3 linked regions of the Notamacropus eugenii genome follow. The protein of the gene in region 1 purifies or fractionates together with the protein of each later gene. This does not show direct contact. Links are inferred from orthologs where the notes say so. Each region holds a gene or a part of one and is shown in the gene's direction. Other genes may lie near its edges.

Region 1 (6,991 bases):
GCTCTGTGGAACTCTGGTCTGGCCTCCGTAAGGGCCAGTCCAAAGGAATAACTCCTCTGATAAGAGCTTTTACTCTCAAGAGTTCTAGCCAATCAAATAGTGTGTGTGTGTGTGTGTGTGTGTGTGTGTGTGTGTGTGTGTGTGTGTGTCCCGCTTGGGGGACAGGGGAGTCCCAGTCACTCAAACTCATCTCCTAAGAGGTACCCTAAGGTAGAGACAGAAGGTAGGATGTTGCTAGGTAGGTTGAACCACCACCGTCACCTTGACCAATAGCCCAGGATCTTTAAAAGCCTCAAGGATAGCTGTGCCACCCAAACCATCAGACCTGCTTCCAGCTCAGCCACCTGAGAGGAGAAATCATTGTGGAGAGGTTCCCATTTTCCTCATTATTGCCAGCAAGAACTGCTGACCAACTGAGACCACTGGTCTTGCTTCCAGCTTAGTCCCTCCCCCCTCTCTCTGGTTTCCATAGGCACAAAAGCCAGGCTAGATGCCACTGTTTCCCAGTTCCTTTCAACCTTTATGTTCCCCATGTCTATCCTCTCCAAAATTCTTTGAGGAGAAGGGGCCAGCGAACCCCAACAATGGAAGGAAAGGATGAAAGAAAGAAGCAAAAAAGGAAGAAAGAAAGGAAAGAAGAAAGGAAGGAAGGAAGGAAGAGAAAGAACAAAGAAAAAAAATTTAAAAAGCACTTATTAAGCTCTCATGTGCCAGGTATTGTGCTAAATACTGGTGATACAGACACAAACAAAAAAGAAAATATAGGCCCTACCCTCAAGGAGCTCATATTCTTTTTTCCCCTACTTAACAGTATTTTTTTCCAACTACATGTGAAGACAGTTTTCCATATTCACTTTGACAAGATTTTGAGTTCCAATCTTTTTTCTCCCTTTCTCCCCCCCCCTTCCCCAAGACAGCATGCAATTTGATATAGGTTATATATGTGCAATCATGTAAAACATATTTCCATATTAGTCATGTTATGAAAGAAGAATAAGAACAAAAGGGAAAAACCACGAGAAAGGAAAAAAGGTGAAAACAGTATGCTTCGATCTGCATTCAGACTCCATAGTTCTTTCTCTGCATGTGGATAGCATTTTCCATTATGAGTCTTTTGGAATTCTCTTAGATCACTGTATTGCTGAGAAACGTTAACGCTATCAAAATTGGTCATCTAACAATATTGCTGTTACTACGTACAATATTCTCCTGGTTCTGACTTCACTCTGTCAGTTGATGTAAATCTTCCTGGGTTTTTTTGAAATGTGCTTGTTCACCATTTCTTTATAGCACAATAGCATTCTGCTACATTCATATACCACAACTTGTTCAACCATTCCCCCGTTGATGGGCATCCCCTCAATTTCCAATTCTTTGCCACCACAAAAACAGTTGCTATAAATATTATTTTCATACATGTGGGTCCTTTTCCCTTTTTTATGATCTCTTTGGGATATAGACCTAGTAGTGATATGGTTGGATGAAAGGGGATGCACAGTTTTATAGCCCTTTGGCCATAGTAAGGAGTTCACATTCTAATGGGGATACGTTTTTGAAAATCTAGAAAGCAGGAACAGGGCCAGAAGGAGAATGAAGATGGACATAGTCCCCTCCACAAAGTGTGTGTTCGTCCTTCGTTGCCAAAGAAGACCATGCCATCAGAGAAATGATGACGTGACTTGCCCTTGACTTTGCTTTGAGTGAGGGAGGGCTGTGCAGGTCGCCAGCCTCACTTCTCCAGAGCCATCCGAATCAGTGACCAGACATTCATCAGGATGACTGCAGATGATCCTGATTCCAGATCCAGGTCCACTTAGCTGCCTCTCTGATAGCAGAAGGGGGTGACCAAACAGAGGGATGTTCTAGGGTGAGGAAGCCCCAAGCGCTGAGAGAAGTTTCAGCATAAGACAGCATGGTTCAGAAGTCTGGAAGCCAGGCTGGGAGGGGACGGAGGACCAGATTGGGCTCCCTGGACAAAGTCTGTAACTACCTGCCACCCACAGAGCAGGCAAGCCGGCCAGAGCTGAAGCAGCGAGGTGGGAGGCAGCACTTGCCAGGCATGTAAAGCTTTCACCACCGTGCGCCCAGGACCTCTGCCCAAGAACTTTGGGAAGAGCAGCGCTTCCAACCCACCGTCCTGGGAAGCAGCCAAGACCTGCGAAGATGCTGCAGCCACAGTCACTAAAGACCTAGAAAACTCTGGTCCCCGCAGTCCTCGGAGCCTCCAATGGCTCAGCATCCGATGTGGTTCTATCAGGGGAATGACTTTGAAGAAGAACCGTCGCCATCTGCTTTGACGCTGCGCCCCAAGGACCAGGGCATCTTTCCCCCCATCTGCCCGTCTTGCAGCTGAAACCATCCCCATGCATTGTTCCCCCGTTAGAACGGGGCTCTTTGAGAGCAGGAACGGGCTAGCTTTTCCATGTGCCTTCCCAGTGAAGAGGAGCACAGCGCTTCCCCCCTAGTGAGAGCTTCCTAAACGCTTCCTCGTTCGCTAGGGAACCGCAGCTGGACGCCCAGCCCAGGAACGAACGATCGTCGTCCTCGCAATACTCCTCTCGGGGCTGAGTGGCTCGTCCAAGACCCCAGACAAAGGCTCTCTGGCCGGGAAGCGCAGCGGTGCCAGCTTCAAGCAGAGAACAAAAGGCTCGCTGTGGCCGGCCCCCCCTGCCCTCTCCTCTTCAGTCCCCATTCCCACAGGCAGTCCCGGGATGAAGGCCTCTGGCAGCTCCAGGGCGCCGGGAGGATCTCGGATCCTCTGGGGAGGCCAGGATTTGCCCCGGCTGCTTCCACGGGCGGGGGCGGGGGCGGCGCCCCGATCTCCTGCCCACTTCCGCAGGCTTTGGTGGGCCGAGGCCAGAAGCGCTCCTCCCTGACTCCCAGGCTCAGGCTTCTCGGCTCCCTTTATCTCCCAGTCCTCCTTCTCGTCTAAGGGATATTTCTTAAAGCGGTTCAAATGTGGCTTTGGAGGTTTCTGACGCCCCGATTTCTGGGATCCTCCCTTGGGGAGGATTGAAGGGTTACCTTATTATAGAACGTCAAAGTGGGAAGGGAGCTTAGAAGTGACCTTCCCTGGCCGGGCTACAGTCCCTTCCTCTCCTCTCCCTCCCTCGCTCCCTCCCCACAGATGACAGATGAGGAATCTGAGTCTCAAGGAAGGGTGTTCGAATTTATTGAATGAGCGGATGGAGAAGTGAAAGGATGAGTAAAGGGTGCTGGCAGGAATGCACGGAGGAATGGAAGGCACGTTGTTTTTTTCTATCACACGAGTCCAACTTCTCGCAAAGAAAAGGGCTCAGGAGGACGGGAGACGCAGCACAGGTTAGGGAAGAGGGAGGCGGCGGCCAGGGGCCCTGCTCGGGGGTTTGGCGAGAAGGGAGACCAGCGCTCCAATGGGAGGGGCGCCAGCTCTGCTTCTGCCCACCCCGCCGGCACCGCCGGGGGACCCCTTGCCGGGAGCCGCCGGACTCCCGTCAGGATGCCCCGCGGAGCACGCCGGGTAGCCAAAGATGTAAATCACCCCGCGCTAAAGAGAAAAAAAAGCGAGGCCGAGTGTCCGTAGCGGAGGCAACCAATAAAGCTTTTCGAATTTGAAACGGAAAGAACCGGCGGCGGGGCTACCGAAAGCAGTCCGGCCCAAAGAGGGCGGACCCGGTCGCTAAGGGGGCTGGCAGAGTAGCGTACTTAAGGACTAAGGAGAGAAGGGGGGAGTGGGAAGGGCTGGGTGGGACGCCTGCGCAGAGCATACAGTGGGGCGGGGAGGGGCGGGGCCCCTGCAGAGGGAGCGAGAGGCGGGGCGAGCAGCGCGCTTGCGCCGAGCGTGCGGCGGGGAGGGAGGACTTGTGTGTCTGTGTTGTTGTTCGGCGGCGGCGGCGGCGGCAAGATGGCGGCGCACGGGGGCTCTGCGGCCTCCTCGGCGCTGAAAGGGTTAATCCAGCAGTTCACCGCCATCACGGGTAAGAGACGCGGACACGGGAAGGCGGAGAGCGGGCTCGGGAGCGGGCAGCCGGGAAGACCCGGGCTTCCTCCCTCCGCCCTCTCGCTCCCACTCCAGGCTTCCCTCTCAGCTCCCGCCCTCCCTCCGAGGCGGCGGCGGCGGCAGTGACGGGGTCCCGGGGTGAGGGCGCGGGCGCGGGCGCAGCCTCAGCCTCGGCCCCTCCCCAACCCCGTGCCCCCCTCCCCCCGTCCTTCCCCGCCGCGGGACGAGGACGCGGGGACCTGCCTCTCGTTTCCTGGGAGCCGGCGGATGGGGCCTGGCCGCGCTCGGCGAGCCGGGGCCCCGGGGGCGGAGGGAGGGATCGGGCCCCGCACCCCGCCGGCCGCCGCCCTCAGACTCCTTTGGCCTCGCGGGGGGGCCTACCCCTTCCCCATGCCCCGCCACGGTCGCTCCACTCCGGTAGGGCGGCGGCGTCCGTCCTCCCCCGGGGGCTCCCCAGAGCGGCCCCCCAGACCGGGGGGGCCCCGGGCCCCCGAGCCCACATCCTCGACCCCTGCTGGCGCAGGCCTCCGCCGAGAAGGTAGTGGGGGAGGGGCAGCGACGTGAAGGGGGCGGGGGGGGGAACCACCGGGGAGGCAGGTAGCGCTCGCGGGTTTGGGGGGAGGGGGGCAGCACCTAGTGACCCTTCCATGGGGGACCCTGAGCAGTGAGGGGGGGGGGGGCCGTGAAACTTCCCCCCCCAATGTAGCGACGGAAGGATAAGGATGATGGTGATGCGGCCTTGTGCTGCTCCGGGGAGGCATGGCCGCAGGAGCGGCTGCAGAAAGGGAGCCCTTGGCAGAGTGACGGTGTCCGCAGCCCCGTACTCGGGCCGCTGCTGCGGGTCTGCACCTCGGGGGAAGGACGCGTTCGGGGCACCCTTCCCCGGGGGTCCAGAGCCGTTTGCCATCCTGCCAACCGTCCGCGTCCTGTTCCTTTCTAATGGTGCTGAACTTTTTTTTTTTTGCATGAGTTATTAGAGGGGCGGAGCAAACGGGGAAGTTCTCTGTAAAGTGATTTGAGGGAAGAGTGACTCCATGTGCCTAAGTGTAATTTAACAGTTCTAGTGATTTTTTTTTCTTTTTGTAAGGAGGTCAGACGTAAGTAAGTCTGTATGCTATCTGTGAATCGCTAAAAAGATGTTTGCAGTGTTGAAAATGTTTCTTCAGGACGCATTTGTTGAAGCTTTAGTGGTCAAGCAGGATCTTACCACTAAGAAAAAATGCCCATTGTTTTGAAATTGGGAAATTATCGGACAAGTGTTTATAACAAGTTTTTGAGCTTTTTTTTTTTTTTTCATTTTCACCTTGCTGGCCGTGGCTTTTAGAAAATTGAGGTCAGTTACTTTGTCGTATGACTTCAGTTTTCATCAAGTAGAATTTGTAAATGAAGTAGGTCTAAGAACTAGATGTTATTTACAAGTGATATTGTGATGTTTAGTGATTATTTGTGATAAATATTTGAGAAAAGTCTTCCAAATGTATTTGCAGATAGGTATATATCTTTTTTTTAAAAAAAGTATTTTGAAACTAAGAATGGAGGTAATGTATTTGCAGCCTGTCTTTGTATTGAGTGGGTCATAGCTGAGTGAAGGCAACTGAAACAGTGAGTTAAGAGTGGATGAACTTGGTCCGAAAATTGGAATCAGATACTAGCTGTGTAGTCTTGTCATCTTCTCTCCGTCTGTTTCCTCATCTGCAGAATGGAGATAATAGCACCTATCTCCCAGGGTTGTTGTGAGGATAAAATGAGGTAATCATTTGTAAAACCATTTATTAGGTCCAGGAATGATTTGATCTATTATTAGTCATTTTCTTATTGAAACAATGGTAGAGTAGAATGAGTGCTGGATAGACTTGGTTGGACACCAGACTCTATAACTTAATAATGGCCTTGGGCAAGTCATTTGATTTCAGTGTCAACATCTGTAAAAACTGAGTAATTATACTTTTTTCTAGTTTTTTAAAAAAATTTCTTTTTGTTTTAGAAAAGTACTTTTCAAGCCTTAAATGTAAGTAATTGTCAAAATTTCTTGGTTTAATTGTAGATGTTACCTCAGTAATTTTAGGTGTTTTTATTTCTTGGGGATTTCAAAGTGTTCCTTTTCATCATCATTTCTAGCGCTGTTTTAGTTACAGATAGATAGCAACACATAGTAATTTCCTAAAAGGCTGGCACATTGACAAGTGACTCATCTGGTTGCCCTAGTTCTTTTTCCAATATTGTCTCTTAATGTAATAAGTATCAGAAACAGTATAGCTATGAAAGGACTTGAAAAGTCAGAAATATTCTGCTGATGTGATGTTGTAAAACTGTGATGTTTGATTATTTTATTTCCCAATTATGATTGTTGGATGCTTTTTGCAGAGTCATTAGGTTAATTATGAATATTTTTGCCACAGCCATTAGAATATCTGTTACCAAGAACTTGACATAGTTGCATTTAACCAAAATTAGTTAAATTTAGTTTAATCCTGTGTGTATTGTGGATGTGCTTTTTAAATGAAAATATGTGTTTATTTAATAAAGCAATCAGTTGTATTAAATATTAAGTTGTAAGTAGTTTAAAAAACGAAATAAATTCTGTTCCCCCTGAGAAACTTAAAATATTAGCTTTTGTAGCTAACTTATTCTTTTTTTCTTGCTGAAAAAACAGGATAGTAGTATTTCTTTTTAAAGATTTCTTAATTTGTAGTGACTATATCCTAAGGAAGAAAATATTTTTATATATAGCTTTAGAAACTACTTTTCTTGAATAATCACCTACGTAGCCAGAATGCACACATTATGGTTACCTTTTCCTACAATTAAAAATAGGTTCTTATATCATTTATTGTCAAGAAAATGACCTAGTGACAGCACATAGTCTTTTGTGACTTAGAAAAATTTTCAAAAAATGGACTGTACAAATGTAAAATAGGGAAGCTGAGGCATTTCATGTGAAAAAGATCTGGAGATTTTACATGATTTCAAGCTCAATATGAGTCAGTGTGACATGGCTGCCAAAAAACTGTA
Region 2 (7,540 bases), on another chromosome or scaffold:
AAAGAAGGTCATCTGGGCATGGATTTGGTAGGTGCTATCTTAACTTCCCTATTTATTTGGGCTATCAGCTCAGCCATTTTTAGCCCATCTTTTGTAGTCCAAACATCATTCTCCTTGGCAGAGAGGCAAAATAAACCAAATGGAACAGGCACTAAAGAGGAATGGAAAAATATGACTGTGCATAGACTACTTGACCTTGAGCCAAAGAACATGAGTACACCATGCCCAAGAGGTCAAGATGCCCAGACTAATAGGACACAAGGGAAACCAGAGAAATGGTTATGCATGCAGATAGATGACAATGATGCTTACCAATGGAATGAGTGCCTTTCACCGAGCTGCATGTTCTTTGACACACATTTTAATTACTGCATACTTTGAATGCTTTTGCTTTTAATATTTTCTTCTTCATGTCTATTTGCTTTTGTGTTAGAATTATTCCTGTTTTGTGGATATATTTGTCTATTAAATGTACACAATTTCGTTGTTTGAACATACTCTGTTACCTGCATTTTCGTTATTCTGTAAGCCTACTGACATTACTGTTTCATATTTGCTTTATTGTAATGTTTATTTGTGCTCTAGGTTCTAATTCACTTAAATTTTTCCAACCACATAAAAATGCTTATTCATTGTTTAGTCTTTGTTTAGGATCATTTGTCTAAATTCCTTCATTATTTTTCCTGATTTGGGGTGGGGGGAGGAATTGTAATGATAGTCATCATTAAAATCTCTGTATATCTCTGAATATATATATGAACTGGGCAGCGAGGCAGTCCAGTGAATATAGTGCTGGACCTGGAGACTCATCTTCATGAATTCAAATATGGCTTCAGTTACAAGCTGTGTGACTTTGGGCAAGTCACTTAACCTTCTTTGCCTTCATCTGTAAAATGAGGTGGAGAATGAAATGGCAAACTACTCCAGTATCTTTTTGAAGAAAACCCTAAATGGGGTCATGAAGAGTTGGACAGGACTGAAACGAGTAAACAACGGCAAACAACATATATGTATTGCTATGGCATGTACATGTAATATGTCCTATGTATATAATTTAGACCTGTAGTCACTGAAGTGTCCTGTTGAGAGAAGATGCTTCATGCTCTGTATGGTATATGCTCTGAATATTTGCTGAGACTGGCACCCTGAGATGGTTAACTGGGATTCCAGGTTAAGTATCTTTTTTCTGTTAAGTGCCGGTGTTTATTTTTGGTTAGAGGGCTAGATCTGGAGTCAGGAAGACCTGAGTTCAAATCCTTACTAGCTGTGTGACCCTGGGCAAGTCATTTTACCCTGTTTGCTTCAGTTTCCTCATCTATAGAATGAGCTGGAGAAGAAAATGGCAAACCACGCCATTATCTTTGCCAAGAAAACCCCAAATGGGGTCACAAAGAGTCAGATGACTGAACAATGACTGAAGGTGACCCTGGGCAAGTTATTTCACCTCCATCTGCCTCAGTTAAAGCTCTTTACAAACACAAAGAAACTATATAAATGCTATGATGATGATGTGATATATAATTCTAAATGTTGAACACACTGTAGCTGATTTTGCAAGGAATCATAACATTTCTAACCCCAGGAAAGAACACAATGTGACTGAAAGCTCAGTTTCCCTTCTTCCTGGGAGCTATAAGAAGAGATTACGTCCCCTAGGAGGTAAAAACAAGATATTGCTCAAGAAGATAGCGCCAGGAGTTTATAATGTTGAGGTTTAATCTGGACCCTCTCTGGGGAGTGGGAAGGCACTTAGTTGTTTGCTAATAATGAGGATGGAACAACTCTTACCACTAGGTCTCCTATTTTACTTTGGCTCTCTCCCAGGGAATCTGTTTTCCTTTCCTCATTCTATTAAAAGATTTATTTGCTTTCCGTTTTTCAGTCATTTGCTTGTAAAGGAACTCGTTACTCCAAAGTAAAATGTTTGTGGATTGTATCATGGGTTCTAGTGTGTGACCTGGGGGTTGGGGTAGGGAGGATTAAAAGTCACCATAGAGAAGGCTAGCAGAGTTTGATTGTGCAACTGTAATACATATTTTTGTTAGAGAAATTCTCTTGGGCTGAGGGCTTAAGACAAACCAAAGAGATTTTTATCATGACTATTATTATAATTCCCTCAAAGCAGGAAAAATAATAAGGAAATCTAGACAAATGACTCTAGACAAAGACTAAGGTATGAGTAAGCATTTTTACCTAGTGGGAGGAAGTGTGGTGAACAGAATTTAAAAGAAGCTCCAGTGAGGCAGAGGCCAGCAGGCAAATTTTTGGCTTCCTTGCTAGAGGCTAAAGACTGCCCCATATTGGGCTTCCCCCAACCCCTGTCAGTTAGGGAGAAGAAAAAGGTGATAATTAGAGAAAAATTTGCACCCTTGGGGACTCAAAAAGAGTGGAGTTGGGAAAGAGTGACTCCCCCACCTCCTAATGGGAGTAAAGTAAAACTGACTGAGCTAGGCTCAGGGCATAAAAACAGGAGCTAAAAGAAAGGCAGTTTCTGCCCTTCTAAAGAATGAAAAACACAAATAAAATGTTAGTGGTTGTTCCATTGTCTCCAATTTGGGGTACTCTTGGCAAAGACACTGCCATTTCCTTCTCCAACTCATTTTACAGATGAGGAAACTGAGGCAAATAGGATTAAATGACTTGCCCAGGGTCACACAGCTAGTAAGTATGTGAGGTCAAATTTGAACTCAGGTCTTCCCGACTTCAGGCCTGGCACTCTATCCACTTCACCACCTAGATGCCCCACAAGGAAGCTAGAAAGGGTAAAATGAAGGTGCCTGGAGCCTGAGATGGGGAGGCAGTAAAGAAAAAAATCCTAGAGAAGAAACTGGAGCTCAGGCTAGAGAAAAATTTAGACCTGGGAGGGTCCTGGGGGTGGTGGTGATGGTGATGTCTACTCTTAAAATAAAGATTCTGGTAGAAGTCATCAAGTCAGAAGGAGAGGCCAAAGTGCGAAGTCCATGCCTAGAGTGAGCTTTTTGGCAGTTTTTTTTCAGTCGTGTACAACTTTCCGTGACCCCATTTGGGGTTTTCTTGGCAAAGACACTGGAGTGGTTTGCCATTTCCTTCTCCAGTTCATTTTACAGATGAGGAAACTGAGGCAAACAGGGCCAGGGTCATACAGCTAGTAAGTATCTGAGGCCAGATCTGAACGAAGATGAGTCTTTCTGACTTCAGCCCCGGAGCTCTATCCACTTTGCTACCTAGTTGCCCACTAAGTGAGCTTCCACACGCCTAATGCCCTGGTCCGATCACACTACTCCACTGCTCCAAAATATTAAACAACCTTTTTTTGGATTTGTTTGTTGGTTTTTTGGGGAACTCCCAATGAGGAAATAACACTCTGTTTGGGGCTCTGAGAGGGTATGACTGGTGTCAGAGATGGAGCTTGAAAGGAGGTTTTCCTGCTGAGATTCTGTACCAAACTACCTCCTTTTGCTTCTTAAATATAACCCAACTACTCACACCCCTGCACCTCTCCCATGAGTCCTGACCACAAACTGGCCTTTGGGATATATTTCCCACCCAGTATCCTTCCAGTACCCTTCACCTCCAACCAGATCATGCCTTACTGTTAGCCAACACCTCTCCCTCCTGGCACATGCAGTTCCCCATGCCCAAAGCCCTCCCCTTCTCATAAATCTCAGCTCCTTAAAAACCCCACCCCTCCACCCCAATTTAAAGCCACCTTCCCGGGAAGCCTTGGGTGAATCCCTCCTGGATGCAGACCAGGAAGCCTTCCCCAAGCCCTCTCACCTCCGGGGCTGAGGATTTCCTATTTATCCTGTGGGCAGGAGGGCGGCCCAGCGGACGGTGCCAGGCCTGGAGTCTGCAGACCTGACCCCCCACGCGAGCTGGGCCGCCCTGTTGCCTCAGTTTCCTCGTTGGTAAAATGAGCTGGAGAAGGAGATCCTAAGGCCCTCCACATGTCTGCTGGGAAAGTCAGAAACCCCCCGAGAACGACTGGCCGTGTGCAGACCGGCTGCCCTCCTCAGACTGCCAGCGCAGGGGCCGCTTCTTTCCTCTGCCCACCCGGGCTCGGGGTGGCGCCGGGCACGCAGCAGGCACCTCGTGGTCGCGCCCTCTCAATGCCTGGCCCTGTTTCTGCGTCCCGTACGTGGTTATGCTCTGTCTTTACCCAGACTTCCGAACGTGTTCATTTCTCTTCCTACAGGCCAGACTCGTCGGAGTAAACTGATCTAGGCGGGAACGAAATCGTTGTTGCCCGCAGGGAGTTTCTGTTCTAGAGTGGGAGAGCAGCCAGGTTTCCTTCCCTAGCGTTTGGCGCTGGCGCCGAAGTAGGCCGGTGGGGGCGGGGTCGGGGTGGAGGAGTGGGAGGGGGTGAGCCGCCGGACTGCTCCCAGGGCGGGGGGAGGAGCGGACGCGGGGCGAGGGGGAGGGGTGGCGCCGCGGTGGAAGCCGGAACCCTGTTTCCGGGTCTGTGTTCCTGGGGGGAGCGCGTTGCGCGAGGCACCGGGACGTCGGCTGCAGGCTGAGGCCGGGCGGGCGGAGCTGGAGCGGCGGCCGTGCCTGGGGAGCGGGCGGAGGAGCGAGGCCGGGGCTGGAGCCGGAGCTGCGGCTGCGGGACACTCGGGGCGGCGGGCGGCGGGGGCCGGGCTCCGGGGCCCGGCGACGGCAGCGGCGGCCATGGCCGAGAGCATCGTGAGTCAGTTCCCCGCGGGCCGGCCGGTGCGGGCGGGGAGGGCGAGCCGAGTGGGACGCCTCCGGGATGAGGCAGCAGATTTCCCCGCCGAGGCCTGCGGGGCGTGGACCCGCGTCTCTCTCGCCCCCTGGCACTCAGGCCTTCTGGCTCACCCCCTTCCCTGGCCCTGCCATCTGGGCCCTTTCTCATCCTCGGCCTTCTCCGGGACTCAGCCGCCGGGAGATCGCCGGCGTCCGAGGTGGGGGAGAGAATCTGCCTACCTTGGGGGAACACCCCGACCTTGGAGGCCAGGAGAGAAGGGTCCCAAATAAAAGAGAGACCCCTCTTACGCGGCCACAACCCAACCCCGTCTCCTCCCCCACCTCCCCTTTTCCCCTTTCTGCCCCCCACCTTCTCTTCCTCCATATGAACTCCAAGGAGCAAAGTAGCTACAGATAAGGACACCCCAGAAAAAAAGTCCCTCTCCCCCGGAGGAGGTCCGGAACAAAAGTACAGAAATAGGACGTTTTCCCCTCGATTTCCAAGGAAAGCTTGTTAAATGCTTGACTAAAAGAAACTTGGGAAAGGAAGTTCATTTTTCTTGTCTTGGGAGATCAGACTTTATCAATCACCCCCTAATACCTTATGGCACAATTAATCTGAAAGCCCAGAAACTGGTTATTTCTTAGGCTGTGATAAGTTTTAAGTGCTTTAGCAAAGAAGCTAATGACTCAGGGAAAATCCGCAGGGAGGATCGGGGCAGTAGCATTTTGGTGGTAAATAAAGAACGCGAAAGGAAGGAGCTGTGGATGCCCGGCTTGGGGAGGGCGCTTCTCGCACCTGCTGCGTAGGCAGCCAGCCCTCCCTGGGTCTCTCTGCCTTGAGCCAAACTTGTTCGTTCCAGACTTTTCACCACCCTCTCCTGCCAGCTTTCTGTTTATGGCACAGGATTCACTGGCTTGTCTTTAGGGAGGTAAAGGAGGAATGGTACAAGAAAATAAAGTATTGATGCTTTTAAATATAAGGTTGCAGAAATTAAAACAAAATAAGGTTACAGAAATCTAACTTGGGGCTCCGAATAGGTTAGGAACTGTTGGTAGTTTAAAAAGTTGCATTAGTACCTTCCGTTTACAGGAAAACTAAACCCAGCGTTCCATTTAGGATAAGAATGGTCAGATCTTGTTGTAGACAAAGTTCTTAAGTCTAATGATAGCCAGAAAAAGACCACTTTTGTAAGGCTAAGCCACCATTAATAAAACCTAGGTGTCCCATAGATGTTTTGACTGAACAACTAAACGCTTTTGCACTTACTAAATTTTTGAAATGTGTTTATTTTTTAGGGGAAAAATGAGTTGAGATAGATTGTTTCCTCTAAAGAATACTGAGTGTATTGTTGAGATCATCAAATTATTCCAAAACCAAGGGTCTAACTCTAATCTAGGTCTAGGTCATGGGTGGGGAACCTGCTTTCTGATCCTAGGCCACTTGTGACCGTGGGTGTCCAAGTTTTACAGAACAGATCATTTTATTAAGGAGATTTGTTCTATGAAGTTTGGATTCAGTCAAAGGGCCATACTTGAAGTCATAGAGGGCCACATGTGGCCTTGAGTCTACAAGTTCTGCACCCCTTGACTCTAGGAACCTTAAAAAATATATATATTTTGATGACTGTGCTTTAGTAAAATTTTCTTTTCTAAGCCTTTGTATGTGATTTTCTAACATTGTTCTGAGTATGAGTACATAGGCTTCACCAAATTGCCACAGAAATTTGTGGGGCCCCCCCCAAAAAAAGGTTAAAGCCCCTAAAATGTTAATTCTAAACATTCTGTTTCTGTGAAGTACATACAAGCTGTCATAGTAGTCCTTGTTTTATAGATGGAGAAATCTTGTACATTCAGGTCTTCTTGTGTCTTATAGAACTAGTACAATTTAGTTTTATCTTTTGTTACCAGAAAACTTGAAATTGGTTTGGGAGCATATATGGTTATGTTTAACTATATATGTTTAAAAACACTGTTTAAGATGATCAAATCAGAATAATTTCTATTTCAGAAATCTGGAATTCAGTCTCTTAGAGGAAGTACCTTGTGTTTTTGAGTAGAATTGATTAGTTCAGGAACTAGTTTTAACATTTCTAATTATTGTGGGAGAACAGGCAGCTGAATATTTTTTCTTAGTTAATTTAGAACTAGAGGATTCAAATATTAATGGCAGTGTTTTTATAAATACGTATGTGTTTTACATTGAAGTGCTTTTTAATATGGAGACATTTAGAGAAACTTGAATACATATGTAAGATGAACAATCCAAAAATTAAAAGGGCTAGTCAGAGTTAAAAGTTTAGGGTAAAACAGGTACGCTAGTTTTTCTAAACTTTTAATGAATGGAATGTCCATAATGTTTTTCCAAAAAATAAACTGCCTTAAACTTAGAAATTGACAACAGAGTTTTTCAGACAAAAGTTAGTGAGTTATTAGACATTGTTATAGTTGTTACAGTATAATGAGTTGTTATAATATAATGAGTACTGCATTTGGAATCAGAGGACTTGAGTTTTGGAATACTGAGTCGTCATCTTAATTATCTGTGACCTTGGGAAAATTATTTCACATTTCTAAGTCTATTTTCTTATCTGCAGAGTGAGGTGGTTGGACTAGACCTTTAAGATTCTTTTCATCTCCAGATGCTGTGATCCTTTGTTTTAGGATGACATGAATTAGTCTTGATAAATTCCATCCCAGAATGTGTCAAGTTCAGGGAATTATGAGCCAGTGGGGCATTTGGCCATGTAATAGTGGAAATAATTTTCAACAGATCATATATTTCTAAAAGAGTTAGGACTTTTATCCGATAAACAGTATGGTAAATGTTGAGAAAAATAACTATAGCAGAAGTGCT
Region 3 (7,278 bases), on another chromosome or scaffold:
AAGACAAGCAATTCAATATTAGTTATGCATGTGAGTCATGCAAAACATTTCTATAACAGTCATGTTAAACAAGTAATTTTTTTAATTAGTTTTTTTTTTCAAATACAGGTTTATTTTCCTATGTTACTATGAAACAAGTACTCGTGTGTTATGATGATGAGGTCTCATTTTATTTCTTTATTGAATAATTGAACTTTTTTTTTTGGTGGGAGTAAGGGGAGGAAAGACAATAACTGCTACCTGTTTCTTCTTGGTGATCCTATGAAAGCTAAGGAGAAAACAGAGACTTTTCATTTTTTACTTTATACTAAGAGCCTAGCAGATTGCATGGGCCAAAAGGATGATACTTAATAAATGCTTGTTGAATTGTACTGTGTGTTCAATTACCTTTATGTTGAGCACTTATCTCTAAACCTAGCTGAGTGAAACAGTTAAACTAAGAATGTAATACAGAAGCCTACACTACAGTATCAATTATTGAACATGGATACTTCTACTAACTGCTCCGATCAGAGGATTTAGAGCTAAAATTAGGTCGTTGTGACATTAGGTGGCTTGGTCTACCTCTCCTATGTTCGATTTATTCATCCATCAAATGAGCTAACTTTTGTACTGAGTATCTCAAAAGTGTGGTAAGAAAAGTACTTAATTGTTGTTCAGTCTGTCCAACTCTTTGAGACCCCATCTGAGGTTTTCTTGGGAAAGATATTGGAGTGGTTTGCCATTTCCTTCTCCAGCTCATTTTATAGATGAGAAAATTAAGGCTAACGGGTAAGCGATTTGTCCCGGGTCATAGAGCTAAGTAAGTGTCCGAGGCCAAATTTAAACTCAGGAAGATGTCTTCCTGACTCAGGGCCAGGCACTCTATCCCCTGCATCATCTTATTTTTAAAAGAAGCTTATTCATTTATTTTTACATGCATTTATGTCACTTTCAAGCTGTCTGTCCTTCCTGTTCAGCAACAACTCCTTCTCAAAAAAGGGAAAGAAAAAAAAACTCATCATAAACATGCATAAATCCCTTCAAAAATGAATTTCCACATTAGCCATGCCTGAAAATGTATGTTTTCCTGTATTTAAATTCATCATTTCTCTGACAGAGATTAGTGATGTGTTCCATCTTTAATCCTGTGGGCTTATAGTTTATGATTGCAATGATCAGAATCCTAAGTATTTCAAAGTTGTTTTTCTCCATAATATCCTATTCATAGTTCACCTAATTCTGCTAAGTTTTCTCTAAAACTATCCATTTCATTATTTCTTATGATACAATAATATTCCATTCAAAAACGACAATTTATTCAGGCATTTTAGTTTCTAATTTTTGGCTACTACAAAAAGAGCTGCTAGAATATTTTAGTATATATAGGTCCTTTTCCTCTTTCTTTTATCTCTTTCAGGTATAAACCTAGTAGTGGTATAACTGAGTCAACAGATGCACAGCATTTTCCATACAGTATTTCCAAATTGCAGAAAAGCAGTAAATGTTTTAAGCACTATGTAAATGTGAGTAGTTTTCACCTAGTCCAGTACCTTAATTTTATATACGAGGAACCTGAAGCCTCATGATCACACAAGTTGTGTGGTCTGGCTAACTCAGATCTTCCTATTCAAAATTAGTTTCTTCATTTATAAAATTTCTACTTCCTTAGGCTGCTTCTACAACCTCATATTATTCCTTTTGATATATGCAGTTCCTGAATGTTTGGGAGTGATTAGATTCCATGGCCTCACAAGTATATAGAATCATAGTACAAAGAAGTACCAAAACTGGTCTTAGCAGATTTAGTCAACATTTTGTTTTTATTTTGGACCACTGGATAGGATTTTGGTGGGGGCCTTTGGGGTAGGACTGATATTGAGGTTAAACATATTTATGTATCCAGCAATTTCAAATTATTGCTATTCTATTTTGCAATCTCTGCTATCATTCTAAGAAGAAACCCCTGTAGAGTTGTAGCTTGGCAACTGTTCCTGAAAGTGCTATAGCCACAGCTACTGCAGACCCAGAAAAGAAAATTTTTTGCCATCAGGGTCCTTGGCACTGTTAAATGGTTCAACCTCAGTCAATAAACATTTGTTAAGTGCCAGGCACTGAAATGAAAATAAAGGAGAGGCTTTAACATCTGCTGTGCCACTGTACCCTAAGGACCACAGGACCTTTTCATTTGATTTGTGTTGTCTCCTCCATTACAATGTGGAAAGGAGAGAATGCCTTTTCTATTTGTATCTTATTTGTATTTGTACAGTGCTTTGCACATAGTAAACACCTCATAAGTTCTTTTTTCCTTCTTTCCTTTTCCTTCCTTCAGGAATTCAGAGTTCTTGTCATTTGCAGAGTTCCCAAAGAGAGATGGGATGGCACTGTATTTGCTTTCATAAAGCTAGCTGAATCAACTGGAAGTTCCAGATGAGAACTGTTATTTTGTCTGTTTTCAGGTGGATAAAATTGACAATTTGGCACACTTGGCTCAAAAAGATGAATTCCCTTTATAGCTGATTCTCCCATAGACGACATGAAAGGAGGATGTGAAATTTTTTAAAAGATACTGTTTAGTGAGCTTTATTACAGGAGGTATCTCCTGCTAGGATGTAATTGGCTTCTTGAGGATAAGGAATTATTCACTTTTTTTCTTTGCTTGCTTGGTGTCTGGCATAGTAGGCACTCAAGAAATCCTTGCTAATTTATTGATTTGTTTTGTGGTAGTGGTTTGGGGGGTTTGAATCTGAAAATCTTACTGTTTTAGCTAGGTGAAAAAGAGTTCTCTGGTTTACGAAAGTGATGCAAATTTTACTCTTCTTTGCAACATCTTATTTGTGCAAGATAGGATTTTCTACAGTAGCCATTCGACAAACTATTGATTCTGTTTAGGAGTTTTAAAAGAATGATGAATTATATTGCTATTTAATTATGGTTAATGCACCATGAACTAGAATAGCATACTGGAGAGAACTGGCCTTGGAGGCAGAAAAACCTGTTGTCAGTTCCCACCTCTGCAACATATTGGCTTTGGAGGCAGAAAAACCTGTGTTTTTAAGTTCCCACTTCTAACACATACTGGCTGAGCAAGTCACTTAATCTCTTAGTGCCCCCCCACCAGTTTATAAATTATAGAGAAGGTCCTAACTGCTTAAGAGTTTTTCTCACTAGGTCATTACCTCTACCAGTGAAACCACGGTAAATCCATTTCTGTTAGGACAATGACACGTTTAAAGAAGCTACTTGAAGGAAAAGTTCATCCATCACATCAATCATAACATATCATGATTATTATTTTAAAATTATAAATATGAAAAGTGCAAATTATTTTAATCAGTATCTATACATTTTTACTGCATGATTTAAGGCTTGTGATGAAAACATTCTTAACTATATTTAAATAAAAAACAAAATTATTTGCATGGGCTGCTTGACAAAAGGAGGGAATTGAGGGAATGACACGTTCTGGAAACCACTGCATTTTAGAGGAATTAATAATGACTGGAAGCTTTTGGTTGTCAGACATTTTTTTCTAATGGGTGTCCTCATTAAGTGGTAGTTAGGTTCAAATTCTAATTCACGTGGAATTAATATGGAGAGAGAGGAAATGGGGACCTCGGCAATAATCTAATTTCTTAATTTTTGCGGATGAAAAAAACGGAGGCTCAAGGAAGTAAAAAGAAATTAATATCGAGTGCCTTCTATGGGCCAGAGCACCATGCCACTTTACACGTATTATCTCATGCGATCCTCACACACACACACCCCCCCCCCCCCCCCAGGAGGTAGTGCCACTATTATCACCGCTTTTTCAATTAAAAAAACTGAAGCGACTAGTCCTGTGTTACAATATTGCTAGCGTCAGAGTTGAATTTGAAGTCACATCTTGCTGATTCCAGGCCCGCCGCTGCGCCCCCTAGCGGCCCCCAGCGACTCGCTTTACTGTTATCATTAGAGGCAGGGATTGAACTTTGGCCCCAGATTCTTTAACTAACGTTGGCTAAAATAAACAGGCCATTTATTCCCCCAGGAAGCAACCCAAAGGGGCAGAAGGAAGGGAAAGACCCAGGTTGGCCCCAGCACTACCTCTTCTAAGTAGGCCCACCTCCTCCATAGCAGAAGAGCTTTACAACGTCACCTCTGGCGCGTGCGCAGAACAGTTGGCGGTTTGGGAGGACGAGCGGATGTTGTCTTGTGACGAGCCCCGGGGGGGGATCCCATCCCTTTCCTGAGTTAACCGGAAGCTCGCTATTGGTGACCTGCGCCCTACGACAAAAGATCGCCGCCGCTGGCTCCTCCTCCGCTTGAAGGAGTGGGGGGAGAGAGACGCTCGCTTGTGCTTACAGCACAAGCTGGGGATAGAGCGGCTTCTTGCCGGTCGGCGGCTGGATCGCTTGGGGTTATTCCCGAGAGAACCTTCTTTGTCTGGACTGCGCCGGAGCCTTCAGAGGTGAGCCGTGGGGGCGGACAGGAGGTCCAGGACGGGGGCGACGGCCCGATTCTGGAGCTCCGGGGTGTCAGGAGCACTATTCCCAGCGTGGCGAGGCCCGGCCTGGGGTTTCGAAGAGCTGGGCCGGGGCCTGGCAGCTGTGGCCGTTGCTGCGGCCCGGAGGGGCGTCCACGAACCCCGCCGAGTGTTGAGGTTGGTGAGTGGGGGTACTTCCCGGGCTGTCGGGGAGCCTGCACTTGTGGAATGGGGCTGAGAGATCATTTGGAGCCTCCCTCTACTTGAAGAGGGAGGGCCGGAGCCGGAGCTGCAGCCCCTCGGGCCTGGGGGGCGTTCTTCGAATGAGAAAGTGCAAACTCCCGTGGGTGTTATTTGCTGCCCCGCCGTAGGATCAGTTTAGTATGAACACCTACTGTAACAGCACTTGCTATGCTAGGTCTAGGTATACAAAAAAAAGAAACTATCCTTGCTTGCTTCTATTCTAGTGGAGATTAGGTGTGCGTGTGCAGCTTAAATATAACATATATATTAGAAGCTCTTAACCCGTGATCTCTAACTCTAAAAAATCTAAAGATTTTTTAAAATTAATTATACTTTGATATAATTGGTTTCCTTTGTAAGTCTACGTATTTTATTTTTGTGTTTTTAAAAACTTTTCTGAAAATGTGCCCTTAAGCTTCCCCAGACTGTCAAAGGGGTGATGACTCAAAAAATGTCAGAACCTTGTATCTGTCCATCTATTTAATCTATCACAGCTATGTGGCATAGTCGATACAGTACTGGACCTGGGATTAGGAAAATCTGAATTGAAATTCGACCTTAGATACTGGTCAGTTACCATGTGTTTCCCTCAACTTCATCTGTAAAATGGGACTAATAATAATGATGGCACCGGCCTTCCAGGTTTGTTGTGAGCATCTAATGAGACAGTCCTCGAAAGGCAAACCATTTATATAGCAAGCACCTTAAGGTTTGCAAAACACTAGCCTTAGCATCTGTGTAGCACTTTACAGTTTGCAAAGCACTTTATGAATACTTTATTCTCATAACTACCTTGAGATTTGAAGGCTATTATTATCTCCATTTTATTGATGTAGAAACTGAGACCAAGAGAAGCTAAGTGACTTGTGTCTCACACAAGTAAATGTTTGAGGCAGGATTTAAATTGAGGTCCACCCACCTGTTGAATTTAGGTTCAACATATCATCTCTTGAACCACCATCTACCTATACAAAGTAGTTAAAAACTGCATTTCCAAAAAGCTTGGTACATTTTAGAGGGGAGGCACTAGCATTGGAAGGGGAGAGGTTGATCAAGAAAAACATGCAAAAAAGGCAGTTTCTGAGCTTCATCTTGAAGGAAAAGAGATGGTGAAGTAAGGAGGGTGTGCACATTGAATTCCTCATTAGGAAGTGATCTCCTTTAGAACAGGAATCTTGTTTTTATGCTTCTTTGTATACCTAGCATAAGTTAGCATTACTGCTTAATAAATTCTTCTTGATTTAGTGGACTTAGTGTCTTCCAGGCATGAGGGTTCAAAGGCACTGAGAAGAAGATGGAGAGAATGTAGCATATTGAGTTCATTAGAGAGCAGGATCAGAGAGAACAGGATGATTTGGCTGGATTGGAGAGCTTCGGTCTTGGATAAGAGACTTCTTTGTTCAGTCTGCTAAGGTAGAGCAGATTACTCAATATGGACCCCTTGGAGATATTGCCAGTTGGGTTTTAGACCTCTGCAATAAATCGAATATCAAGCTGATATCTCGATAAAGCTAGTTACATGAATTGTTTTGTTTCCCAGTGCATATAATATTTGTTTACTGTAGTCTATTAAATGTGTACTTGTACTATATTGAAAAAAAAGATATACATACCTTAATTTAAAAGTACTTTATTGCTAAAAAACAATGCTGTCCATCTTCTGAGCCTTCATCGCATTGTAATCTTTTTACTGGTGGAGGGTCTTGCCTTGATGTTCATGATTGCTGACTGATTAGAGTGGTGGTTGCTTAAGGTTGAAGTGGCTGTGACACTTTCTTAACATAAGAAAAAAAATAAAGTTTGCTGAATTGATTCACTTCCTTCCACTTGAACACTTAGAGGCCATTGTAGGGTTGTTAATTTTCCTAATTTCAATATTATTGTGTCTCAGGGAATAGGGAAGCTCAAGGAGAGAGAGAGAGAGAGAAAGGAGGGAATCAGTTGGAGGAGCAGTCAGAACATTTACATTTATCAGTTATGTTCACTGTCTCATATAGGCAAGGTTCGAGGTACCCCAAAACTATTACAATAGTAACATCATAGATCACTTGGATCACAGATCACCATAACAGATGTAATAGTGGTGGAAAAGTTTGAATTATAGTGAGAATTACCAAATTGTGAGGCAGAATGTGAGCACATGCTTTTGGAAAAAATGGTGCTGAAAGACTTCCTAGAGACAGGATTACCACAAAGCTTCAGTTGGTAAAAAAAAAAAAAAAATACAATATCTTCCAAGTGCAATAAATGAGATATGCCTGTAAATAGAATAAGGTAATCTTTGATTCAGTTCAGTAATCATCTTTCAAGCTCTTCCTGTGCACAAAGTACTGTGCCTAAATCCTGAGAATACAAAGTCAAAAGAATTTGTCTATCCTTAAAGAGTTTACTGGGACATGAGAAAGGCCGGGAACATGAGTAAGTTTATGTGGGTAGAATATGCCAAGGGGAAAGCAAAGATCCAGGCAGAATACTCTAGAAAATTTGATGAATATGAAATCATTTTCAGCTGGGGAGAAAGCTTCCTAGAGCAGATAACCCCTAACCTTTGTCTTAAAGGAACTGAGTCAACTAACTTAGCATTTATTAAG

The links.
Region 2: the proteins of UBXN7 (region 1) and NPLOC4 purify together in Homo sapiens (affinity purification with mass spectrometry; 3 studies listed by BioGRID and IntAct, with this or other methods). This does not show direct contact. The link is inferred for Notamacropus eugenii from reciprocal best matches to the Homo sapiens genes UBXN7 and NPLOC4.
Region 3: the proteins of UBXN7 (region 1) and TOPORS purify together in Homo sapiens (affinity purification with mass spectrometry; 4 studies listed by BioGRID and IntAct, with this or other methods). This does not show direct contact. The link is inferred for Notamacropus eugenii from reciprocal best matches to the Homo sapiens genes UBXN7 and TOPORS.

What each region holds. Positions count from the first base shown.
Region 1 is NC_092876.1:335,918,168-335,925,158, forward strand, and holds the start of UBXN7 (UBX domain-containing protein 7), read left to right. Parts: upstream 1-3,956; 5' UTR 3,957-4,246; coding exon 4,247-4,517; intron 4,518-6,991. UniProt on the Homo sapiens protein: Ubiquitin-binding adapter that links a subset of NEDD8-associated cullin ring ligases (CRLs) to the segregase VCP/p97, to regulate turnover of their ubiquitination substrates.
Region 2 is NC_092873.1:325,532,130-325,539,669, reverse strand, and holds the start of NPLOC4 (nuclear protein localization protein 4 homolog), read left to right. Parts: upstream 1-4,523; 5' UTR 4,524-4,647; coding exon 4,648-4,662; intron 4,663-7,540. UniProt on the Homo sapiens protein: The ternary complex containing UFD1, VCP and NPLOC4 binds ubiquitinated proteins and is necessary for the export of misfolded proteins from the ER to the cytoplasm, where they are degraded by the proteasome.
Region 3 is NC_092872.1:122,860,453-122,867,730, reverse strand, and holds the start of TOPORS (E3 ubiquitin-protein ligase Topors), read left to right. Parts: upstream 1-4,214; 5' UTR 4,215-4,429; intron 4,430-7,278. UniProt on the Homo sapiens protein: Functions as an E3 ubiquitin-protein ligase and as an E3 SUMO1-protein ligase. Probable tumor suppressor involved in cell growth, cell proliferation and apoptosis that regulates p53/TP53 stability through ubiquitin-dependent degradation.